Linked DNA regions of Mus musculus. The protein of the gene in region 1 interacts with the protein of each later gene in a biochemical or structural test. Links are inferred from orthologs where the notes say so. Each region holds a gene or a part of one and is shown on either strand. Other genes may lie near its edges.

What was found. The genes of interacting proteins can lie anywhere in the genome.
Region 2: the proteins of Khdrbs1 (region 1) and Lyn form a complex in vitro, tested with the Homo sapiens proteins (3 studies listed by BioGRID and IntAct, with this or other methods). The link is inferred for Mus musculus from reciprocal best matches to the Homo sapiens genes KHDRBS1 and LYN.

What each region holds. Positions count from the first base shown.
Region 1 is NC_000070.6:129,738,034-129,744,802, forward strand, and holds the start of Khdrbs1 (KH domain-containing, RNA-binding, signal transduction-associated protein 1), read right to left. Parts: upstream 4,271-6,769; 5' UTR 4,128-4,270; coding exon 3,746-4,127; intron 1-3,745. UniProt on the Homo sapiens protein: Recruited and tyrosine phosphorylated by several receptor systems, for example the T-cell, leptin and insulin receptors. Once phosphorylated, functions as an adapter protein in signal transduction cascades by binding to SH2 and SH3 domain-containing proteins.
Region 2 is NC_000070.6:3,779,121-3,782,620, reverse strand, and holds part of Lyn (tyrosine-protein kinase Lyn), read right to left. Parts: intron 1,709-3,500; coding exon 1,555-1,708; intron 1-1,554. UniProt on the Homo sapiens protein: Non-receptor tyrosine-protein kinase that transmits signals from cell surface receptors and plays an important role in the regulation of innate and adaptive immune responses, hematopoiesis, responses to growth factors and cytokines, integrin signaling, but also responses to DNA damage and genotoxic agents.

The DNA.
Region 1 (6,769 bases):
TAGACTGTAAATCCTGTTGATGTTGTTTAATTGTGTTAACTTAGTCAACTATTATCTGTGTACCTCTATCTCTCATCTGTAATGGTAATAGGATTGTCTTCTCAGCCATCCAGAGGCAGAGGCAGGTGGATCTAAGTTTGAAGACAGCCTAGTCTACATTGTTAGACCCTAGCTCAAAAACAAACAAAAACAAAAACTGGGGCCAGGAAGATGGCTCAGCAGTTAAGAGCACTGCCTGCTCTTTCAAAGAACCTGGGTTCAATTCCCAGCACCCAGATGGCAGCTCACATTGGTCTTTAACTCCATGACCAGGGGATGTGACAACCTCACAGTCAGACATGCAGGCAAAACACCAATGCACATAGAAAATAATTAATAAATTTAAATAAGGCAAAAGCAAAAAAGACCCAACTTTAAAGTGTTTTCTCTTAGTAACCACACCAAAGTTAAACTCTGACTGCAGAGCTAAAAGAAACATTTAAGAAACAGTATTTTTGCCTGGCGTGGTAGTGCACGCCTTTAATCTCGGCACTTGGGAGGCAGAGGCAGGCGAATTTCTGAGTTCGAGGCCAGCCTGGTCTACAAAGTGAGTTCCAGGACAGCCCGGGCTACACAGAGAAACCCTGTCTCAAAAAAAAAAAAAAAACAAAAAAAAAAAAACAAAAACAAAAACAAATAAATAAATAAAATAAAATAAAGCTAGGTCAAAAAAAAAAGAAAAAGAAAAAAAGAAACTATTTTTGTGAACCCCAAAAATCCGTTAAAAAGAGAATGATCACCGTACTTGATGTCAGAAAGGCCACATTATGCCTTATATATATAGGAATTATACCAAAAGAAAACCATGGTGACATTTTATCTAGTGAGTACAGGTCAAAGGAACCTGGCTGATTTTACATATAACAGACCTCACACTCACTACTTTAGAGATGACACCGCAGTCTTAGTCAATTTCACAGGACCAAGTCACTAAGGGTCACTCTCCAAAGTTAACATCTTAAAATTGACATAACTCTTCAGCAATTAATCTGACAGGTTGTAAAGATTTGAGGAAATAAAAATAAGATTAGCAAGTCAACCTCTACCATAATGGTATTCTTCAGTCTGCAGGTACTTATTCGAAGTGCCAATCAAACACAGGTGTTTGCTATTTGCAAGCCAGTATGAAAAAAATATAAAAAATAATGACCCAAATTGTAAATCAGTTAGTAGAGTACTATGTCTGATCCTAGGCATTGCACAAACTGAGTGTGGTGGGGCTCACTTCCCAAACCCTCGAGGAAATGGACCACAAATTCAAGGTCACCAGTGGCTATACAGAGAGTACCCAGCCTCAGCTACTTGAGACCTTTTTTTTTTTAAAAAAGAAAAAAAAGGAAAAAAAAAAATCAAAATTTTACTAAGTTGTCAGAACAAAAGAACAGAAACGTAAGAGCCCAAGTATTACAGAATAGAGGTACCAAGCTGACATGCACAGAGTTGATGTTTCTATTCACTGACCACAGGTTTTGTTTACTGTGCTTCAAAGGCCCTTATTTGCTGTTTTCATATTTGACTGGAAAGAAAAGCAGGTCTTTAAGTCATTGTAGATCCGTGACCTTTTTGCATTATACAAACGGTAAATCCCCTTCAACAATGCTGGGAAACAGAGAGCAGATGAAGGGAAAATGGTATATTCCTTTTATTTCTTTTCAGCTTTGTATTTTGAGTACCTGTGTAGGACATAAGATAACATCAGGCCGGTGGTGGTGGTGCATGCCTTTAATCACAGCACTTGGGAGGCAGAGGCCAGCCTGGTCAACAAAATGAGTTCCAGGACAGCCAGGTCTATACAGAGAAACCCTGTCTCGAAAAAACAACAACAACAAAAAAAAACAAAGAAAACAGCCGGGCGTGGTGGTGCACGCCTTTAATCCCAGCACTTGGGAGGCAGAGGCAGGCGGATTTCTGAGTTCGAGGCCAGCCTGGTCTACAAAGTGAGTTCCAGGACAGCCAGGGCTATACAGAGAAACCAAAAAAAAAAAAAAAAAAAAAAAAAAACCACCAAAGAAAACAAAAACAGGATCCCCCAGTACTGAAGTTACAGGTGTCTGAAAGCCTTCTGATGTGGGTGCTGGGAACTGAACCCCTGTGGAAGAGCAGACAGTGCTCTTAAAGGCTGATTTGTCTCTCCATTAGATAGTGCTCTTTCACAATGAACTGTCCACGATATCGTTCTGGCCAGAGTGCAATGCTCTGTGTACTGGACGCTATCAGAGGAGATCTGGGGGCTCTGGAGCATTGCTCTCCAAAGGAGAGGGGGGAGAATTCTGAAGCTCTCAGGCAGTCTTTGATGAAATAACCTTTATTCCTTGTGGCTAGGGTCTAATATACATTTTGGGGTGGGGTGGGATCTAAAAGCAGATGCTTTCTATTGGCTTGGTCGGAGAAGTTAGGGATGCTACATCTGCATGTGGAGGGAGGGCCTTCAGGTGTTGGGGGGGGGGTTTAACACCCCGTGTGACTGACTCATGGGGTGTCTTGGTCAAGTGTTCCAGGTTCAGAGTAGGGTTTCTGAATCCGCTCAACCTTCCCAGTTTTTGTCTGGTGACAAGGTTCCATCAGCCCCTCAACAGTCCAACTATTCAACCAGTAGGACAGACTGTGGGTATTAGATGCTTAATAAAAATTAGATATCAGCCGGGCAGTGGTGGCGCACGCCTTTAATCCCAGCACTCGGGAGGCAGAGGCAGGCGAATTTCTGAGTTCGAGGCCAGCCTGGTCTACAAAGTGAGTTCCAAGACAGCCAGGGCTATACAGAAACCCTGTATCGAAAAACCAAAATCAAAAAAAAAAAAAAATTCGATATCATAAAAAATACTAAAACCATGTCTAACAACAGGCGGCGGTTTGAATAAGGAAAAATATCTAAGTCGCTCAAGTCCGGAGAAGAGAGCTCCATAGTCTACAATCAGAGAACAAAGACTACCATTCTTAAACTATCTCTACTCCAGCAAAAACTAAAACAAAAAGACCAATTTCTCGTTCATCTCACGCAAAAGAACCTGCCTGCCGCCCCTTACCTCCCTCTATCATTTCTTTCTACGGTCTCCTGGGCTATCACAACCCCCCCCCCACACACACACACACTTTTGCATAACTTCAGAAACACATTTCAAAATAAAACAGAGAAACCATCCGGGTCTGCAGCAATTCTTACTCGACAGGCCGAAATGGAAAGCTTGGCTTGAGAAAACCTCAAGCTCACGGATTCTCTCGTCGCCCCGACCTCTAATGAACTTAAACCCGAGTTCCCGCTAAATCCCGCCCCGCTCCGTAGATGCGCTGTGCGGGACCGGCATTCCGGCTATCTCTACCTTACACCCCAGGTCTCCATCACCCGCGATTCCCCCCCCCAAATGTTTCCTCTTTGGGAAAGCGGGGAGAAATAGGTTCATTTCTGTTAAGAGCCGGCCCTTGGCGCGCGGGGCAACTACTACGGGAGGAGAAGGGGGCGGGAGCACGGTACTATCCATCAAGCTCTCCGCGCTCTGAGATCGCGAGTCCTCTTCGGGCCTCGTCCGTGGCTCAGAAATCTTCCCTTACACCCTGAGCCCGGGTGGGACTGTGGGTGCAGAATCTCGAAGGCCAGGTCGAGATGACAACTCTCGATGCCCGGGCTCCGAGGGGGTGGGAGCAAGAACAAAGCGGCGGCCACCCACAGTCAGGACCGGGAGACCCAGAGGACCCGCCAAGAACCGCTTACCTACGGACAGCAGCTGCATGGCGTGAGTGAAGGACGGGTCGAGCGAGTCCTTCTCGGCCATGAGTTCAGGCAGGTACTTATTCTCCGGCTCCATCTTGACCGCGGCTGTGGCTGACGGGGGCAGCAGCGGGGTCGGCGCGGAACCCACCACCGTCGCGTCGGGACCAGGGGTGGAGGGAGGCAGCAGCGGCGGCGGCTGGGTGGCGGGCGAGGCCCGAGCGCCTCCTCTGGGCCCACCTCCCCCTCCCCGGGGCCGGTGAGGAAGCGGCGACGGCCGAGACGGGGTCAGACGCACCGAGGGGTGGGCACCTGACGGGTCCTTGGAGCAGCTGCGGCCCGAGGACCGGGTGAGGCGCGAGGCAGGATCGTCCCGGCGCTGCATCGGGGATGATGGGTGGCGAGCGAACGAGCGAGGAAGCGACGCGGCGGCAGCTGAGGCCCGAGCGGCGGTTGGCGGGGGTGGAAGAACAGGAGCGACAGCGACCGAAGCCGACCCGAGCGACCCAGCGAGAGAGCACCGGAAATGAGGCGGCGCGCGTGCGCAGGCGCCTACCGGCACCGCCCTTGAGTTTCTCCGCGGAGAACAAAGTCCCCAGTTGGACCACGGCGCCTGCGCCGACTGAAGACGTCGCCTCCCCGCTTGGGCTCCGAGCTTAGGGCGCCTGCGCGGGCGCCCGCCGCCTTCCTTCATTTCTTTTTCTTTTCCACGTGACCCGGCGCTAGCGGTACACGTGTCTCCCCTCCCCCTCCCCCGGGCGGAGTGCGCGGAGGGGGCGGGCGCCGTGGAATGTCTTTGTCTGCGCTCGGGCCCGCGGAGTGTGCGGCAGGAGACCTGTTATTCGTGCGCCACGCCTCCTTCAACGGCCGAGCCTGGGGAGGTCCCCGAGGGAGCGGTGCCCCGGAGTGGAATCGGGGGCCGCCCCTCCAACCGGGAAATGAAAAGAACGCTTCTGGAGAGAGGGGGACGCGAGGGTTAGAGCCAAGTGAAGCCGGAAGAGAGGGAAAGACTGCGCGAGCGAACGGGATGGGAAGATGGGGATGCGGGCGGGCGTGGTGGGAGGGAGGAGGCTGACCCAGAGATAAGTGATGAGTGTGCGAAAGGGAAGCCAGGAATGGGGAATGCTGTGTGTTGCAGAACTGAAACTCAGAAGGAGTCGAAGGGGTCAGTCAGAGACGCAAAGACCGGAAGAAAAGGGCTCCCTCCATACCCAAGTAGGGCATCCAGGAAGTCAGTCGGCAAGATTTCCATTAGAGCAGGTTCAAAACTAGTGAGAGAATTATTAAAAGATGCATTTGGGGTCGGGTCAACTGGTAATGCTGCTTATCACCTGTTTTTGGAGTCCCCGGCTTGTTGGCTTGTTCCCCACCCACTCATCCCCGGTAAATTCCAAATTTTCTCTCTCTCTCTCCTTCCAACCCCGCCTACTCAGAAAGCCTCAGAACACAAAAAGGCGCCAAAAAATCCAGTCCTGAATTCCTGACTGTACTAATCCTCATCTTTAGTCACCAGCCACCCAAGCCCCACCCTAGATGACCATACCTGGGCACAAGCCCAGCTTGTGGTAGACTTGTCATTTTCTTCGCCTACAATCTATCAAAAAAGTACCAGCCATACTCTGCCCCCGACCTCTGAGGCTGGTGGACTCACCCGGGAACCCATTTCCAAATAGATATGCCTTTTTAAAAAAAATTATTCTTGAATTAGCTTATTTCGTTGGGGGTGGAGGGGACTATTATCAACCTGAGTTCTAGCCCCAGGCCCAAAATAGGAGAGAACCAGCTCTCCCAAGTTTTCTGACCTCTACTTGCACATAGAGGCCTTCATGTCCAGCCATACTAAGGGGATGAGGTGGTTATGCATCCTAGCGCTGAGGAGGAAAAGCCACAGAATTACCTCATGTTTGAGACAAGTCTGGCCTACATACACAGCACAGCTACAGGCCACCTAGGACAGGCCACCCTGTCCCCCAAAAACAAACTAAGAAGCATCTTATATTAGGTCTCTGACAAACTGCAGTCCTAGCACCTGTTAGACTGAATTGTTTTGTTGCCACCTTCTGTTTATTCTGTAAAACGGTGACTCCAGGGCCAGTCCTTAGCCCATGTTGGCTGCCTAGTTCTCAGAGCTCCTAGTACTCCTGCTCTGAATGCTGGTCCTTCACAAGGGATCCCCCTGCACTCTTTCAAAAAGACAAATACTTTCATTTTTCCTTAACACGTGTTTTCACTGCAGAGTCAGTGACTCACTCTCTAACCCAGAGTGGCTTTGAACTCAAAACAACTCAGTCTTAATCTTCAGAATACTGGAATAACAAGACATAAATCACCATGAGACAGATAGTACTGCTGTAAGGACCAGGGCACAGTCTCTAAGATCTCTTCATCCTAGGGTACTGTATGCAGATGGAACCCAAATTAAATCCCATTAAAAGTCTGAGGCTGGGCTGGTGAGATGGCTCAGTGGGTAAGAGCACCCGACTGCTCTTCCGAAGATCCAGAGTTCAAATCCCAGCAACCACATAGTGGTTCACAACCATCTGTAACAAGATCTGACACTCCCTCTTCTGGAGTGTCTGAAGACAGCTACAGTGTACTTACATATAATAAATAAAAAATAAAAAAGAGAAGTTTTTAAAAAAAAAAAAAAAAGTCTGAGGCTGAGATGTCAAGATGTCTGAGCTGGTTAAATCATCTTCAGGCCTGAAGATCTGAGTCGATCTCCAAGACTACACAGTGGGAGGAAAAAACTGACTCTCAAAAGTTGTCCTCAGATCTACACATGTGCCATGAAACAAAATGTACACATACACACACAAAAATAAAGATCTAAACATAACTTAAAATTTTTATAAGTAGCCAATCCCAGCACTAGGGAGGCAGAGACAGGCGGATTCTGAGTTGGAGGCCAGCCAGGTCTACAAAGTGAGTTCCAGGACGGCCAGGGCTACACAGAGAAACCCTGTCTCAACCCCCCCCACCAAAAAAAGATGTCAAATTACTGAAAAGGTTGGGTTTTTGTTTGTT
Region 2 (3,500 bases), about 130 Mb from region 1:
TATTCTCAGCGGAGGGATGGAGCATCTCTTGGTACAAGAAATTTAAAGTTAGAGCTGGGCATGGTGGCACACACCTTTAATCTCAGCAGTCAGCACTCGGGAGGCAGAGGCAGGCAGATTTCTAAGTTCGAAGCCAGCCTGGTCTACAAAATGAGTTCCAGGAAAGCCAGGGCTATACAGAGAAACCCTGTCTCAAAACACCAAAAAAAAAAAAAAAAAAAAAAAAAAAAAAAGGAATTTAAAGCTAACCTGGAAAGCAATGCAGGATCACATCTCAAAAACCCAAACCAAACAAACCTATGAAAATGTCAAACCAAACCTCTATAAAACAGTTCAGGTTTTTCCTTAATGGGCCCATTCTAAGTTTCCATGGATACATCTTATATTTCATTTAAATTTGCCTACTTAACTTCTAGTGCTGGGGATGAATGCTAAGTACACATTTGACCACTGAACTATATCCACAGCCAGAATTATATATAATTTCCTTAAAGGAAAGCAAGACTTGGCACAGACTGTAACTTGATCATTCATGGAACTGCTAAGGGTTCATAGCCATTGCTTGAAGACATTACCTTTACTATGTCTTTGCATGAGTTTTCTTTTGAAGTGCCTTACTAAAACTGGAAGTCCCTACAAGAGCAATAAAGACAGTTGTGTACACCTGTTGTGTGCTGGAGCGTATCACTGATTCCTGGACTATTGCCAGACAGTCTGGAGCAGTGCTGCATGATGGGAGGACAGAGATGCAGAGACTGAGAGCATCTCCATGTTACCACTTTCTATTTGGTTCAATCCTAACATGTTCCTTATGATCTTTGTACCTTTCTGGTATTTTTCAAAGACTCACTGCTTGCTGGTATCAACAAACCAGTGGACTCGGTTCTTGCTCATGTACTTAGAAGCCGGATTCTCTGGTGCGGATCCAGACTCAGCCCCTTACAGAGTGATCTCTAGAGCTGCAGAACAGCTGAGGTCTGTCATCAGTGGTCTGCAGCATTGAATGAGTGTAACAAACGTCTCTGCAGTTCAGGGAAGCACACATACTTTATTATTGAGAGAAAAAATCTACCTGACAGGCTAAAAAAAAAAAAAAGAATCTTAATTTTGCCAATTCAGTTTTGTTTTAGTTTGACGAATTGAAATACGAGGCTGGATGTACACACCTGTGTAATCCCAGCACTTGGGAAGCTAAGGCAGCAGGATTTAGAGTTTGAGGCCAGCCTGGGTTACACAGCAAGACCGTGCTACCACTCAGTGGTTGAGCTCTTCCCTTGCAAGCACGAGGCCCTAGTCCATTGATCCCCAGTACCAAAGAGTAAAACAACCCCTTATCTAAGAAACAGCGAAGAAGAAAATAGTTGCTACTGTTTATGAATCTTGTTACACAGCAACCCCCTGTCTTGAAGGTAGACGTGAGGACTGTGGGAACAGAGAGAACACTTGGTGGAATTGGGGGTGGAGAAACAGGAGGGCATCAGGCACGGGGGTCAAAGTGTGGAAAGCAGAGCACAAGCCTGCAGTGAGATGGCCTCTGTGGCCCAGCACACATACCTTCCCTTGCTGTGTACTCGTTATCTTCGATGACTCTCGCGAGGCCAAAGTCTGCAATCTTGCACATGAGTGACTCAGAGACCAGGACGTTAGCAGCTCGCAGATCACGGTGGATGTAGTTCTTCCGCTCGATGTACGCCATGCCTTCTGCAATCTGCAAATAGAAGGGGCTCAGGCTTGTATTCTAGATAGGCTGTCATGGTTGGCCATCAAGAAAAACAAAACAAACACAAACACAGAACTTGAGCTTTTGAGATTCTTTCATGTGTATTATTATTCCTGTTGTTCACATTTTTAAGATAGTGCTAAAGTCACCCTTAGAATCCTTTCTAAAATCTGTCCCTAACATCTACAATGATGATAACTTCAAAGAAGGTTTTATTATCTGTATGTCTCTGTGTGTGTTCATATGTGTATGTGTGTGTTTGTGCATCTTTTGTGTGACAGTGTAAACATTGCATGTAGTTGCTCATAGAAGCCAGAAGGGGGCATCAGATCCCCTGGAGCTGGAGTTGCAGGCAGTTGAGAGCAGCCCAACATGAGAACGGGGAACTGAACTTGGGCCCTCTCTAACAGCAGTTTGTGGTCTTAACTACTGAGCTATCTTTTTAGCCCCATGGTAATGGGTTTTGGTTTGGTTTTTTTTTTTTTTTTTTTTTTTTTTTTTTTTTTTTTTCCTTTCTTTCAGTTTTTCGAGACAGGGTTTCTCTGTATAGCCCTGGCTGTCCTGGAACTCACTTTGTAGACCAGGCTAGCCTTGAACTCAGACATCCACCTGCCTCTGCCTCCCAAGTGCTGAGATTAAAGGCATGCGCCACCACTGCCCGGCATAATCTTAGATTCTTAAGTGAGGAAATATATGCTATTCTCTGGATGTTGTAGCCCCCAAATTCATATATTGATACCCTGACCCTCAATATGATCCTTATGTGTTGGCAGTTGTAAAGTAATAAGTCAGGGCATCATGGAAGACTTGGTGTCCTTACACAAGAGACCACAGAGAGCTTCCTGGTCCCTTCCACCTTGGGTAGCCATAGCTGTTAAGGGAGAATGTGTGTGTGTGCATGCATGTGTGCATGCATGTGTGCATGCCTGAGCCAGGAACTGAATGTGCTGGCACTTCCTCCCGGACATCCCTAGAACTCTGAGAAGTAAATGCCTGTTGTGTGAGCCATGCAGTCCATGATGATTTGTGGTAGAAACCAGAACTAAGACAAAAGAAGTGAAGAAATTGAATTTTTAATAATACAAGTTCATTATAAGGCACCAGGACATGAGGGCTGTGCTTGTTAGTAAGACTCACTCTATCAAGATCTTGCTAAGGAAGAGCTGTAGGTCCAGCTCTCCAGAGCCTCTGAGCACAGTCCCTCAAGATGAACTGAATATACTCTGACAACAAAGCAAGGGCATGAGGCAGAATGAAGGATTCCAATAGACAATGACCTCGAGAGAAGAAGGTGCCACTTAGTGCTGGCAGGAAGTGTGGCAGAGCTCTAAAATAAATTAGAGGATTGTTCCACCAAATTACAGTCAAGGATAAGGAATGAAGGTGTGTGTGCATGTGTGCTTGTATGTGTTTATTTGTGTTTGTTTATGTGCATGTTTGTGGTGCGTGTTTGTGTGTGCTTGTGTGTGTGCATGTTTGTGGTGTGTGTTTGTGTTTGCTTGTTTGTGTGCATGTTTGTGATGTGTGTTTGTGTGTGCTTGTGTGTGTGTTTACGTGTGTTTGCTTGTGTGCAGGCTTATGGTGTGTGTGTGTGTGTTTGTGTGTGCTTGTCTGTATGTTTGTGTGTGTGTGTTTAAGAGAGTTAGAAGTCACTTCCAATTAGGATTACTTCTAATAGAGTCCATTGCCCCCCAGATTCTGCCTTAAACTGCAGCAGCTCATCTGGAAGGACCAGACTCCTCCATCACTGTGAGCAGCAGCCTCATTACATCATGCTGTG